3 linked regions of the Nothobranchius furzeri genome follow. The protein of the gene in region 1 interacts with the protein of each later gene in a biochemical or structural test. Links are inferred from orthologs where the notes say so. Each region holds a gene or a part of one and is shown in the gene's direction. Other genes may lie near its edges.

The links. The genes of interacting proteins can lie anywhere in the genome.
Region 2: the proteins of activin receptor type-2A (region 1) and erbin interact in a test that uses a peptide from one of them, tested with the Homo sapiens proteins (2 studies listed by BioGRID and IntAct). The link is inferred for Nothobranchius furzeri from reciprocal best matches to the Homo sapiens genes ACVR2A and ERBIN.
Region 3: the proteins of activin receptor type-2A (region 1) and bmp2b form a complex in vitro, tested with the Homo sapiens proteins (3 studies listed by BioGRID and IntAct, with this or other methods). The link is inferred for Nothobranchius furzeri from reciprocal best matches to the Homo sapiens genes ACVR2A and BMP2.

Annotation. Positions count from the first base shown.
Region 1 is NC_091743.1:85,835,911-85,839,651, forward strand, and holds part of activin receptor type-2A, read left to right. Parts: intron 1-2,382; coding exon 2,383-2,526; intron 2,527-3,741. UniProt on the Homo sapiens protein: On ligand binding, forms a receptor complex consisting of two type II and two type I transmembrane serine/threonine kinases.
Region 2 is NC_091746.1:65,311,258-65,315,783, reverse strand, and holds the start of erbin (erbin), read left to right. Parts: upstream 1-1,549; 5' UTR 1,550-1,778; intron 1,779-4,526. UniProt on the Homo sapiens protein: Acts as an adapter for the receptor ERBB2, in epithelia. By binding the unphosphorylated 'Tyr-1248' of receptor ERBB2, it may contribute to stabilize this unphosphorylated state.
Region 3 is NC_091742.1:22,692,944-22,697,258, reverse strand, and holds the start of bmp2b (bone morphogenetic protein 2b), read left to right. Parts: upstream 1-1,338; 5' UTR 1,339-1,516; intron 1,517-2,293; 5' UTR 2,294-2,306; coding exon 2,307-2,661; intron 2,662-4,315. UniProt on the Homo sapiens protein: Growth factor of the TGF-beta superfamily that plays essential roles in many developmental processes, including cardiogenesis, neurogenesis, and osteogenesis. Induces cartilage and bone formation.

The DNA of each region.
Region 1 (3,741 bases):
CCCTAGTTGGCCAACAGCGCTAAAACACACACACACACACACGAATTGCAAAAATCAGTTTTTGGGTGAGCACCACTGTGACTAGCTGTTAGCTCATCAATCAGGGCAGAGCTCATCTCTTTCTCTAAACTGAGGTTGTTCAAATAGCTATCCAACAAAGGTCAGATGCTAGTTGTCCACAGCTCTTCCACGGGTCAGAGATGTTTAACTCAAACTGCTCATGTTCATGAACCAGGAGAAGGATTTTTGAGCAATAGCAGAGTAACAAAGGGCTTTTGTCCAGCAGCGTTCTCTGTAACATCATTAAATGGTAGCTAACGAGACCAGCGGAGGTCAGCCTGAGGTCTGGAAGACTTCAGAGTCGACTGATTGTAGAACAGCGAGTAAAAGATTGAAGCCTCGAGGAAGGTAATTCAGTAGTAGTTGGTCTGTTCTGCATAAATAACAATCCTTATGGACGATCTCTGCTAAATCCAACGTCAGAAGAATACATAACATCTAAATGAGGTCACACTGTGGCCAAAGTCTACAGCCAATAGGTTTAGGACTTAAAGGGGCATTATGGAAGTTTGACAGCCAAAACATGTATAGAAATAATAAATGTCTTCTTCATACATTCTCCTGCAATGCCCTGGTCCTGTAGAATGAGCCCTGGCATTTTTACTGTGATTGCCTGTTTTTCTGTAAAATCACAGAAAAAGAGAGATGCTCGGGTCGAGCAGGCTGCTTCATGCGCGTTCACGCTCAGGCATCGCCCGTAGCATTTGCTATCCGTAGCTTTAGCAGCAGAGAGAGAGGCAGTGCCACTTTGTCGCTGTTCCTAACGCCTAGTGACAAAGCTAGCTACATTTCTGAGGACCCTTAGCTACTTTCTGTAGAACTTTCTTCTAGATATTTCCTGCAAATTAACAACAAAATAGCCATTTTCACTCCGAACTGTTCTTTGGTTTGACGTTGTTTCAGCTGTCATCGAGTATGTAAAAGTTACAGATACAGTGAATGTTACTAGAGTGTAGCTCACCTTGTAAGACGTTGGACTCTCGTGCAGAAGACCTGGGTTTGATTCTGGGTGTGAACATAGTTTATTTAGAGTTTCTTTTTTACATTAATGGTATATTTTTTTACAGTAAGATGCCCAAATTTTTATTTGAGACTCGCCGAACGGCATTGAATTCACAGATAAAAAAGATGTGGGTTCAACTTTCATTTTGGAACAATTTTTCAAGCAAGGGAAGGGAATGATCTGAGCATGCAGGAGGACTGACCCATCATAAACCTTTGTTGGCTGTGCTGAAGAGAAAGGTACAGAACCAAATAATTTAATTAATTAGCTGCACGTTCTCCTGTCCTCTGTCCTCCGGGCCCCCCCCCACACACACACACGCACGCACGCACACACACACACACACACACACACACACACACACACGCGCGCGCACGCACACGCACGCACGCACACACACACACACAAGGGACTGTCTCAGCTGTTATTTTTGTTAAGGAGTGTGCACGTACAGCATGCGCGCCTCGTGCACGAGCCTACTATTGAAGCTGCCGTTACGCTTCTGTCCTGAGGGGGCAATCACGAGCATAAAAATTAAAAACTCTGTAAAGTCCCTTTAAGGATCATTTTGCAGAAACACAAAGATTTTCAAAAAATAATCATACAACTTGACCACAATGTTCCAAAACAAACCTCTAAATCCCCATCAGACCTTCTTAAGGTCATCCCGCGGCTTTCCCGATCACCAAAACATCACCAGGAAACTATGGACGCTCTTCAAAGAACACACAAGACAGCACAAGAATCCCAGAGCCTCAGGCCTTTTTTCTCCTTTCAGAAAGATTAGCTAAAAATCCCCTTTGAGGACATGTTTACAACCCATTTGATTGTTCAAAAGTAGTTTTTTCCTCAAATAAAAAAGATAAGTTAGTTTATGTTATAATTAAACAAAACAAACATCCTGATTCATTCTGCTGCAAATGACCAGCAGATTATCGATGCTTTCTAGTCTTTTTGAGCTTTTTTCTCAGCAGCTCTTTGGGTTCCAGATTGGCAACCTTCCTGATTCAGCCCTGCTTCTGTAAATTCAAGCAAACGCCACCCTGAGGGGTTTGATTTAATTTAAAACGAACCCATCCAAACCCTGCTGGGTCTGCTGCATGCTCCCAGCCAAATTAAACTTCACTGTGATGAAGCTAAACATGCAGCAACTCCTTAACTAAGCTCCCAGTAGAAATATGAAGCAAGCAGCAATGTGGCAATGCTGTAAAACAAAGTCATTTTGCTGAATAACAATAGAAGCATGTTGTCTCCTTCACACTGAACCAGTCCTGTTCTAACACCACCATCTTCTGCTTTCCTCTCATGTTTCCCTCCAGGATCCCGGACCCTCGCCTCCATCCCCCGTTCTGGGTCAAAAACCGCTGCAGCTCATTGAGTTGAAAGCCAGGGGGCGCTTTGGCTGCGTGTGGAAAGCCCAGCTGCTGAACGAATACGTGGCCGTGAAGATCTTCCCAATTCAGGTATCCTCCTGGATTTTGGAGTCACTTTGATCAAGGCTTTCACATCTCGGGAATGCTTGATTTATGGAAAAACATCCTCAATAGAGCATCATGTAGCTGTCCTAAGCATTTGTAGAGGGCGCATTATAGTCTTTAATAGGATCTGTATGAACTTTAGTCGCTTTTAGAGCTAAATACCTGCAGAAATACATATTTTTAATGCAATTAAGCCTTTTGGCAGACTATTTGTGATTTCTGACTTATGGTAACTGGTAGCAGAGTTGAGCTTTGTTATTCAGGTACAGCATTTAGACAGACTGAGGATATTTGACACATTCATTGGTGCACAATGACCCCTACTTGTTGGTCACGCAGACAACATGGACAGACGGTGCTGCTATGAAAGCAGAGAAGAGCTGCTGCTGCAGCAAAGGACTAGAGTTCCAAAAATGGAGTCCGTTCATTTCAAAAGGATGGTTTAAAATAGAACCGATTGGTAAAATGTCACTGGGTGCTAGCGATGGGTACCGAATTCTGTACTTTTTAAGGTACCGACCGAATTCCACAGTACCGACTGATACCGATTCACGTCATTTGAAACGGTGCCTCGTCTCGGTACCCGTCCTTCATAACGAGAACTTGCCTAGACAGCTGCGCATGCGCAAGAGCGTTATGTCGTCGGTCGCTGCGAGCGAGTTGTAAACAGAGCAGCATGGTAGAAAGAACGCACGCTAAAGCTTGGGTCCACTTCACTAAATGTGATGGGTAACTGGGTGATGATGAAACCAGCGACAACGATCTAAGTGAGACATCCTCATCTTAATCTGCTCCGGTAGGTAAATAAAATGTTTAAGATAACGTTAGCTTGATATGTTAGCTTCCGTTCCGCTAATGGTGCGTTCGATTTCTCCTCGGAACTCTGAATTTCCGACTGGAAGAACACGAACGTGCTCTAAAGTTTGGCTTCACTTTACTAAATGCGACGGGTGATTGGGTGAAGATGAAACCAGCGACAACGATCTAAGTGTGAGGCATCATCGTTTCAATCTGCTCCAGCAGTTAAATAAACTGTTTAAGATAACGTTAGCTTGATTTGTTAGCTTCCGTTCCGCTAATGGTGTGTTCGCTTTCTCCTCGGAACTCCGATTTTCCGACTAGAAGAACACGAACGCGCTCTAAAGTTTGGCTTCACTTTACTAAATGCGACGGGTGATTGGGTGAAGATGTAACCAGCGA
Region 2 (4,526 bases), on another chromosome or scaffold:
CACAGACAGAGAAAGCCCTCTCTCCACGGCTTTTTGGAACATTTAGGAGGAGCTTATCTTCAGACCTGAGAGCACGCGGCAGGTTGTAGTAATGGACAAGTTCACACAGATATGGAGGAGCTTGATGGTTCAAGGATTTGTAAGTGAGAAGCATAATTTTGAAGTTTATCCTGAACTGCACGGGCAACCAGTGGAGAGATTTCAGAATTGGAGAAATGTGTTGTCTTCTGTCAGCTCCAGTCAGCAACCTAGCTGCTGAATTCTGGACCAGCTGAAGTCTAGAAAGAGCTGCTTTACTGATGCCGTATAAGCAGGAGTTTGAGTAATCCAGCCTTGAGGTGATAAAAGTGTGGACCACCGATTTACCACCAGGATTTACCACCAGGATTGGATTGGATTGGATCTTTGTTGAAATTTAAATATTCTGCCTATATCTGTCTGTTGCACCCTCTGTAGGTAAAAACTACGCTACCCGGCCTGGGCCGACCCGGTACAGATGGGAATGGCCCATAAGATGTATACTATGACATCAGCTAGTACCATATGATGTCACAATGTTGTGAGCCTGTGTGTACTTGTTAGCGGTTCTGCCTTCTCGGTCTGCCAGCCAACTGCATTTGTTGCATTTTTCAAACAGGAAGTTGGAGTGGAGTAAGACTCTGGTAAGGGGTTACTTGCTCTTTAGATGGTTGTTTCTGAGTTGTAGTCGTTTTTGAACTGGTAAGTAGAAGATACGTATGCACATCGCCCCTTCAAGAATTTGTTTCACCATTTGCACTGGTACTGGATAATAAAAACTGGTCAATGAGTTAACTTTTATTATTATTATTATTATTGCCAGAGAAATTACAGTTCACATTAGAGAAATGTGACAAAGTCAAGTCATGCAAAGGGTTTAATTCCTTGCAATAAAATGTACTTACAGCAGGGGGCGCTCTAAGGTAACATTGGGCCAAATGTTGCAGGCAAAAAGTGTTTATATGTAAATGAGAACTTTAAATATCTTTCTACTGCTCAATTTGTTGAGCTGCTGTTTTAATTCTGCATAGAGACGCGTTTTAAAGGGTAACCTCCGTTCCGGGCGGCCGTGGACAGTCGGGGCCAATCGCTGACGCCGTCTGGGAGAGAGAGCGAAGCATCGTCGAGGGGCTCTGAGCGATGGTGGGAGAGCGACTTTCTGATGAGCTGCCTTTTGCGTGTAGAGGTCGCAGAGAAGAAATCTCCCCTTCTGAGCTCCTCCAGCCTCCGTGTAGCTCACTTCCACCACAGCTGCGCCTTTTTTTGTCACTGATTAAACACGGAAAGAAACATGACTGAAAACATCTGGGCGCGACAGACTTCAGAGGAAAGGCTTTCCCTCGTTCCGAGGTCGTTTTTGCCTTTTGTATTTCCTTGATAAATTCTCGTGGACATTTTGGATCTTCTTTAATGTTCCGTGATATTGTTCGGATCGGATACGGAGGATTTTTGCTCCGATTTTTTGGCTGTCCCGAGTCACTGGGAAGCTAAGACTTTGAAGTGTTTGGAAACAGCTGGAGACGTTAAGGAACTTGAGGGCTTGCGGGGGAGAAATGTGCGCACTGGGCCACCTTCGAGCAGCTCTTTAAGTGGGCAGCCTTAGCTAACGGCTAACCTAGCCAAACTCCCATTTTAACCAACAAACCGACTCTGTGATGATAGCAAATGCTTTCGTCCTGAAAACATTATTTGTATAACTTCACATTTTTCTCCACTAACTGGACATCAGTTCATGCCCCACGGAGTCGACGTGAATTGAGGTAAGTGTCTTTGTTTGCGCAAGTTCTCGCAAAATGCTAACGTTGGTGCTAGCTGCGCCGAAGCGTTCTGGTCCAACGCCGATGCTGTCCGACTTGAGTTTGACTTCTTATTTTAATCATTTTAAACTACAAAACTGTTCCGTTAAGTTCTCATAAAAATGCTGATGTTTGGTGATAATTTAGAGCTCATTTGTAGCTTAATGACACTGGGTTATGGCTTATGTATCAGCTTTTGGCTGTGTTTTTATCAGATCCACATCTGTGCTCGGCTGCTGCTTTGCTTTGTAGCTGTTTGCTGTCAGTCAGCCATCCATCCATCAGTTTCAACGCTGTGTTGAAAGCTGTCACCATGTTTAATGTCACCCACACCAACAGTCATTATTCCAATAGCTTGTAGCGAAAGTGTTTGTGGAGGGGGATTACAGTCGTCGTGCTGTACGTGTTTTTACTTTCATCACGTTACTAATCAGATTACTTAGAAAAATAGAGATTAATCGATTTTTTTATCTTGATTTTAAATGGGTCAGGCTTTCTGAGGTAAATGTTCCCCTCTTTTTGTTTCAGTCTGATGCTTTCAGATGTAAACGCTGAGAGTGTGTAGCAGATTGTGACCCACATTTGTGTGTTTTAAAAATAAAAATACCACACACCTGACTGCTGTTGAGAAGGGACGTGTAGTCAGAAGATGCAGGACCTGTCTGCGTGTGAATCAGATGATTCTTACAGACAACTTTAAACTGAAGCTTTTCATTTGATGCCTAGCTTATCAGCTTGTTAACAGATTTGGCTTCACAGACCATCCTTACTCTAATGTAAACAAAGACATGGAGCTATCAGCTGCAACTTGTTAAGGGATAAAATCTTTGACCTGATGAGTCAAACTCAGATAAAGTAGTAAGTTCCAGTGGGAAAATTAAATGTATCAAAACAGTAAATAAATTGGCAGTATTTACTCCAGATCACATTGCATGTTACTGAAGTCAATAACATTGATTGTGTTCTGTCCAGCATAATTAGATGGATTAATGTTTAGATTAGAACATTGATTTAGAAATGTTTGTACAGGCCCTTCTCAAAAAATTAGCATATTGTGATGAAGTTTGTTATTTTCTGTAATGTACTGATAAACATTAGACTTTCATATGTATTAGATTCATTACACACAACTGAAGTAGTTGAAGCCTTTTATTGTTTCTAAAATTGATGATTTTGGCATACAGCTCATGAAAACCCAAAATTCCTATCTAAAAAAAATTAGCATATCATGAAAAGGTTCTCTAAACGAGCTATTAACCTAATCATCTGAATCAACTAATTAACTCTAACACCTGCAAAAGATTCCCGAGGCTTTTAAAAACTCCCAGCCTGGTTCATTACTCAAAACCACAATCATGGGTAAGACTGCCGACCTGACTGCTGTCCAGAAGGCCATCATTGACACCCTCAAGCAAGAGGGTAAGACACAGAAAGAAATTTCTGAACGAATAGGCTGTTCCCAGAGTGCAGTATCAAGGCACCTCATTGGGAAGTCTCTGGGAAGGAAAAAGTGTGGCAGAAAATGCTGCACAACAAGAAGAGGTGACCGGACCCTGAGGAAGATTGTGGAGAAGGACCGATTTCAGATCTTGGGGGACCTGCGGAAGCAGTGGACTGAGTCTGGAGTAGAAACATCCAGAGCCACCGTGTACAGGCATGTGCAGGAAATGGAATACAGGTGCCGCATTCCCCAGGTCAAGCCACTTTTGAACCAGAAACAGCGGCAGAAGCGCCTGACCTGGGCTACAGAGAAGCAGCACTGGTCTGTTGCTCAGTGGTCCAAAGTACTATTTTCGGATGAAAGCAAATGTTACATGTCATTCGGAAATCAAGGTGCCAGAGTCTGGAGGAAGACTGGGCAGAGGGAAATGCCAAAATGCCTGAAGTCCAGTGTCAAGTTCCCACAATCAGTGATGGTCTGGGGTGTAATGTCAGCTGCTGGTGTTGGTCCACTGTGTTTTATCAAGGGCAGGGTCAATGCAGCTAGCTACTTCATGCTTCCATCTGCTGAAAAGCTTTAAGGAGATGAAGATTTCATTTTTCAGCACCACCTGGCACCTGCTCACAGTGCCAACACCACTGGTAAATGGTTTACTGACCATGGTACTACTGTGCTCAATTGGCCTGCCAACTCTCCTGACCTGAACCCCATAGAGAATCTGCGGGATATTGTGAAGAGGAAGTTGAGAGACGCAAGACCCAACACTCTGGATGAGCTTAATGCCGCTATCGAAGCATCCTGGGCCTCCAGAACACCTCAGCAGTGCCACAGGCTGATTGCCTCCATGCCACGCCGCACTGAAGCAGTCATTTCTGCAAAAGGATTCCCGACCAAGTAGTGAGTGCATAACTGAACATAATTATGTCAAGGTTGACTTTTTTTTGTATTAAAAACACTTTTCTTTTATTGGTCGGATGAAATATGCTAATTTTTTGAGATAGGAATTTTGGGTTTTCATGAGCTGTATGCCAAAATCATCAATATTAGAAACAATAAAAGGCTTGAACTACTTCAGTTGTGTGTAATGAATCTAATATATATGAAAGTCTAATGTTTATCAGTACATTACAGAAAATAATGAACTTCATCACGATATGCTAATTTTTTGAGAAGGACCTGTAAAGGGGTTCGCAACTTGGCGTCTGTGACCCTCCAAGGAGATTTCCACAATTTAGTCTGTGCCTAGGTTGTGAGGTAACTAAGATTATATT
Region 3 (4,315 bases), on another chromosome or scaffold:
GTTTAACAGGTTAAAAGCAGTTTAGGGTTTACATTTTTCAAATGAATTGATTTTTTTTCTTATCCGTGGCAACAAACCTCAAGTTTGATCATTTAGAAACTTGATAGTTAATTAACACAACTGTCCTTTAAAAGTGATAAAAAATGATATTTTGTTCATATAACAGGAAATTAAGAGGTTGAAAGGAATTGGTTTCGTCATATTTATTACAAATTAACCCTTTGATGCATGAATTATGAAATCTTCAACCATGATTTTTTAAACTTTTTTTTCATTCATCTGTAGGTGTGAATGAAACAAATTTCAGCAAATATTATTTGTAGTATTTTGTTAATTTACAAATAATTTATTACATGTCCATCTCAGGGGACAGCGTGCATTCTGAACACGAAATATGTTGGCTTGACTTACTGAAGTCCAAATGAAGGAGCTCAATTGCAATAAAGTCTTCAACAGCTGTAAAATAAACAAATAACAATTTTGAATACCTGTCCACTGTATAGTGACCATTATGCATCAAAGGGTTAATGTAAAATTATATGATGAAGCCTGTTTATTCTTTCTATTTGGTTGATTTAAGTAATTCCTTAATAACGTGTTGTGTTTGCTAAAAGGAAAAAACTGTTAATAACTGCAAATGTCCCACATAGTTCATTTTTCTCACTACATTTTGCATTTTGATCATTGGCAACCTTTTGAATCTCAAATGCACTGAATCTATTTTGGCAAAACAAACAAACAAAAGTACTTGTTTGTCAAAAGAAGCAAACAAAAAGTACTTTTTTTTCTTCAAATATGCTGAGTACACATTCTGAGGGGAAATACTTGGTTAAAAATTGTAGTAATAAACTCAGCTCATAAACTCCTGCCAGCTCTTCCACCTGTTCTTGGTGGTCCTGTTACAGATTTTAATCCAAATCACATTTGTAGATGTTTGCTGAAGGGGAGAGGAATAAAGTTTAAACAGTTTTCCATTGTGAAGTTAGAAATGAGGGATTTTTCTCCTGCGGGAGTTACGCACAGGAAGTGGTGCGGTTTGGACAGATGACTGACAGCCCAGTGACATCACTGTAGGACAAAAAGCGTCGCAGGGGAAAGAGAAGGCACCAATCAATAGACCCGCTCCGGAGAGCTCTCCCTCTCCGAGCACCAACTTCACTGCGCTCATCTCTCCACGAACATCGCGCGACGCTCCACGTTTCTCCACTTTCAGCTTTTCTTTTTTCTAATTTTAAAAATGTCCAGACAAGCTTCCTCGCACTTAGTTCGGCTATGCCTGCGCGCAGCCGCTTCCTCGTAGACTTAATTTTTCTACTTTTTTTCTTTCCTCTCCGGACTGAGCAAGACCCGAACCCGACGCGCAGCTGGTGAGAATATGTGCGAGAAGCGATCGGCGGAGGGCGCGGGCTGTTTTCGGTCCCCCAAGCAGAAGCAGCGTGGATTAAACACGAATTAATGTGGAATTTATCGGAGCTTAAAGGTGGAACGACGACCGGACACCGCGCGTTCTCGTCAGGTAAATCGCTAGAATAAAGAATAACCATCGATGTGGAGGTTTTAACCTGAATCCGCACTTGGACTGAACACAGAAAGGTCACTTCACAAGTGACAGCTCATTTGTTTCTAATAATAAATTCGTGCGTAAAGCCTCCGCCTGTTGAGCCACGGAGAAACAGAAAATGAAAATAGAGGTAAAAGTTGTCTGTGTGGAAGTTGTTTGACTCCGTCTGTGTTTCTGATGCCTGGCTGTGGGGCACACGTCAGATCTAACACCTGCAAGCCTCTTGAAGTAACTATCCTTTATGATTACATGCAAACAGCGCGCAGTGGGACTGGAACTGATGCGTGTTCTTCCTTTGATCCTTCTCTCTGCATGGACTTTCATATCTGCAACAAGATCTCTTATCTCTTCTCGCTGGAGACCTTTTGTCTGCAGCGTTTCCCTTCAAATCCTTTGATTTGTCTGTTTAATCCACCTCTGTCATTAGTTTTTCACCTTGATATTTCATGTTAGGGTTCATGTTCAACCCAAACTAGAGGAGCAGTTTAGCCTCTGGGTTTTTCTTTCTTTCTTTCTTTCTTTCTTTCTTTCTTTCTTTCTTTCTTTCTTTCTTTCTTTTTCTTCTGCACTTCAAAGTGAAGAGGTGTCTCCCCCTTTTTAACCTGCTCCCCTTCAGTTTTACGCTCTGAGGGGGGATTTGGGAACTGCTGCCGCGAGAGCCTAGCTGGGACCACCTCACGTCAATACCACATTGCCTGCCAGTGTATTGACAGAAACCAACTTTCTCCACAGGGACTGACTGATCATGGTCGCCGTGGTCCGCTCTCTCATGGTACTGATGCTCGCTCAGGTGCTGCTGGAAGGTGCTGCGGGACTCATCCCCGAGGTAGGCCGGAGGAAGTACAGCGAATCCGGGAAACAGACCCCTGAGCAGTCGGAGAGCTTCCTCAACGAGTTCGAGCTGCGGCTTCTCAACATGTTCGGGCTGAGACGCAGGCCGACCCCCAGCAAACAAGCCGTGGTGCCCCAGTACATGGTGGACCTTTACCGGATGCACTCTGCGAACGGAGACCACAGCACTAAGCGGCCCAAGAGCATGGGGAAGCACGCAGAGAGAGCCGCCAGCAAGGCCAACACGATTAGAAGCTTTCACCATGAAGGTATATATTAGTGACATACCTTTACATGTCTCTCTCAGACAGCGCAAACCTATATTTAAACATGACTCAGATCGTCAACACTGAACTTCAGAGTCTTCCCTGTTTTCTGAAGGTTTAGTCATTTACAGATGACATGCTCCGAAGGTATTTGCAACCTTAAAAAATGCTTTAACTTAAAGATTGATGCACAAAAATCACATCAAAGTTGACTTTTCTCACCTAAGCAGCAGTGCAACATTTAGACAAACATCCCTCCAGCACAGCTGTCACAGGCTTCAGAAACATCAGGGGCGGCGGTATCCCCGGGGTCATTAGTTTCTTAATAATTGATGGTGTTTGCGTGGGATTCTGAAAACTGTTTTTCCAGACACGCACCACGGGAGCAGCATAAAGGGCGGTGCGCCTGTGCGCAGGTGATAGACGTCACCCTGCAACTTCAAAAAACAACCGACATCAGAGCAACACACACGATGACGAAGTCACCGTGTCAGACTGAGTCACCTTTAACAAGACTCAAATTAGCTCTTGGTAACGCCGTAGAGGAGGCGTGGCTTCCCTTCTTCCTGTTGCTTCCAGTTGTGCATCATTACGCGTGAACCAGTTTGGAGAAGACAGCGATAGTTGAACTACAAGTCTCAGTTCAGTTGAATTTAAAAACCTATATTTAAACATGACTCATTCACCTCTCGGATGAAAATAAACGTTTTGCAGACTCTGGATCAGCTGTTAAAATGTGGATTTAAACAGTATTTTAACAAAGTAAATGATGCTTTGTTTATAACAGCTTTAAAAGCAGGAGCACTCGATGTTTACGTTTTTGTATAATAAACATCTTATTCCCGGTATAGTAGATTTGCACATCTATTTATCTTAATGTGACCCACGTTGCTGGGTCCATTGGGGCCCTGCGCAGAGTCCTCATACAGAGTCCTGTGTTTGAGTGGAGAAGTTTCTTTCCATCAGGGGTGAGTCAGAGGGGTGGTTGAGTGGTTGCTTGGGTGCTCTCCAAAGGCCTAGTGCAATGACACCAAGTGGCTACACTGACACACTACAAACAACCCTGAGCAGCAGGGTTGAGTGACTGCTCCCAGCTCACCGCTGGAAACCTCTGCACTCAGCCAACACACGTTGACATTTACACGTCTTCTCCTGGCTCTTTTCGTCCTATGCTAACAGCCGCGCGGTTATTAGGCTTCCCGTATCGCGTCGAGGGATTGTTCCCCCTGTAATAAGCACGGATCTACAGATGTTAATGCAGCACATCAAAGCAAACAGCTCCAAGCCTTCGTCACGTCTGCCACGCCATGCTCCTTTCGCTCGGACAATTGGTTTTCAGGAATAACTCGAGTCAAATAGAGCCTTTCCACCGTAGCACAGGACGCAGCTGCCAGAGATGGCCGATCCAATATTAGCATCTATCTTTTGTTTTGGCGAGTGGCACAAAAATAAAGCTGTGGAAATCTGTGGTTCGCGTGCTTTTGACAAGCATAAACTTGTTCACACAGCAGTTCCAGACCGAGATCGAGAACAGTTGCAGAAAGGAACTGAGAAAACGGTGACAGAGAAGACAAGAGAAGAGGATCTCTAAAAGGACGGAGGGGAAAGAGGGGGATTTGGGTGCTGATAAAAAACAAAAAAAGAAGAGTAGGATTGG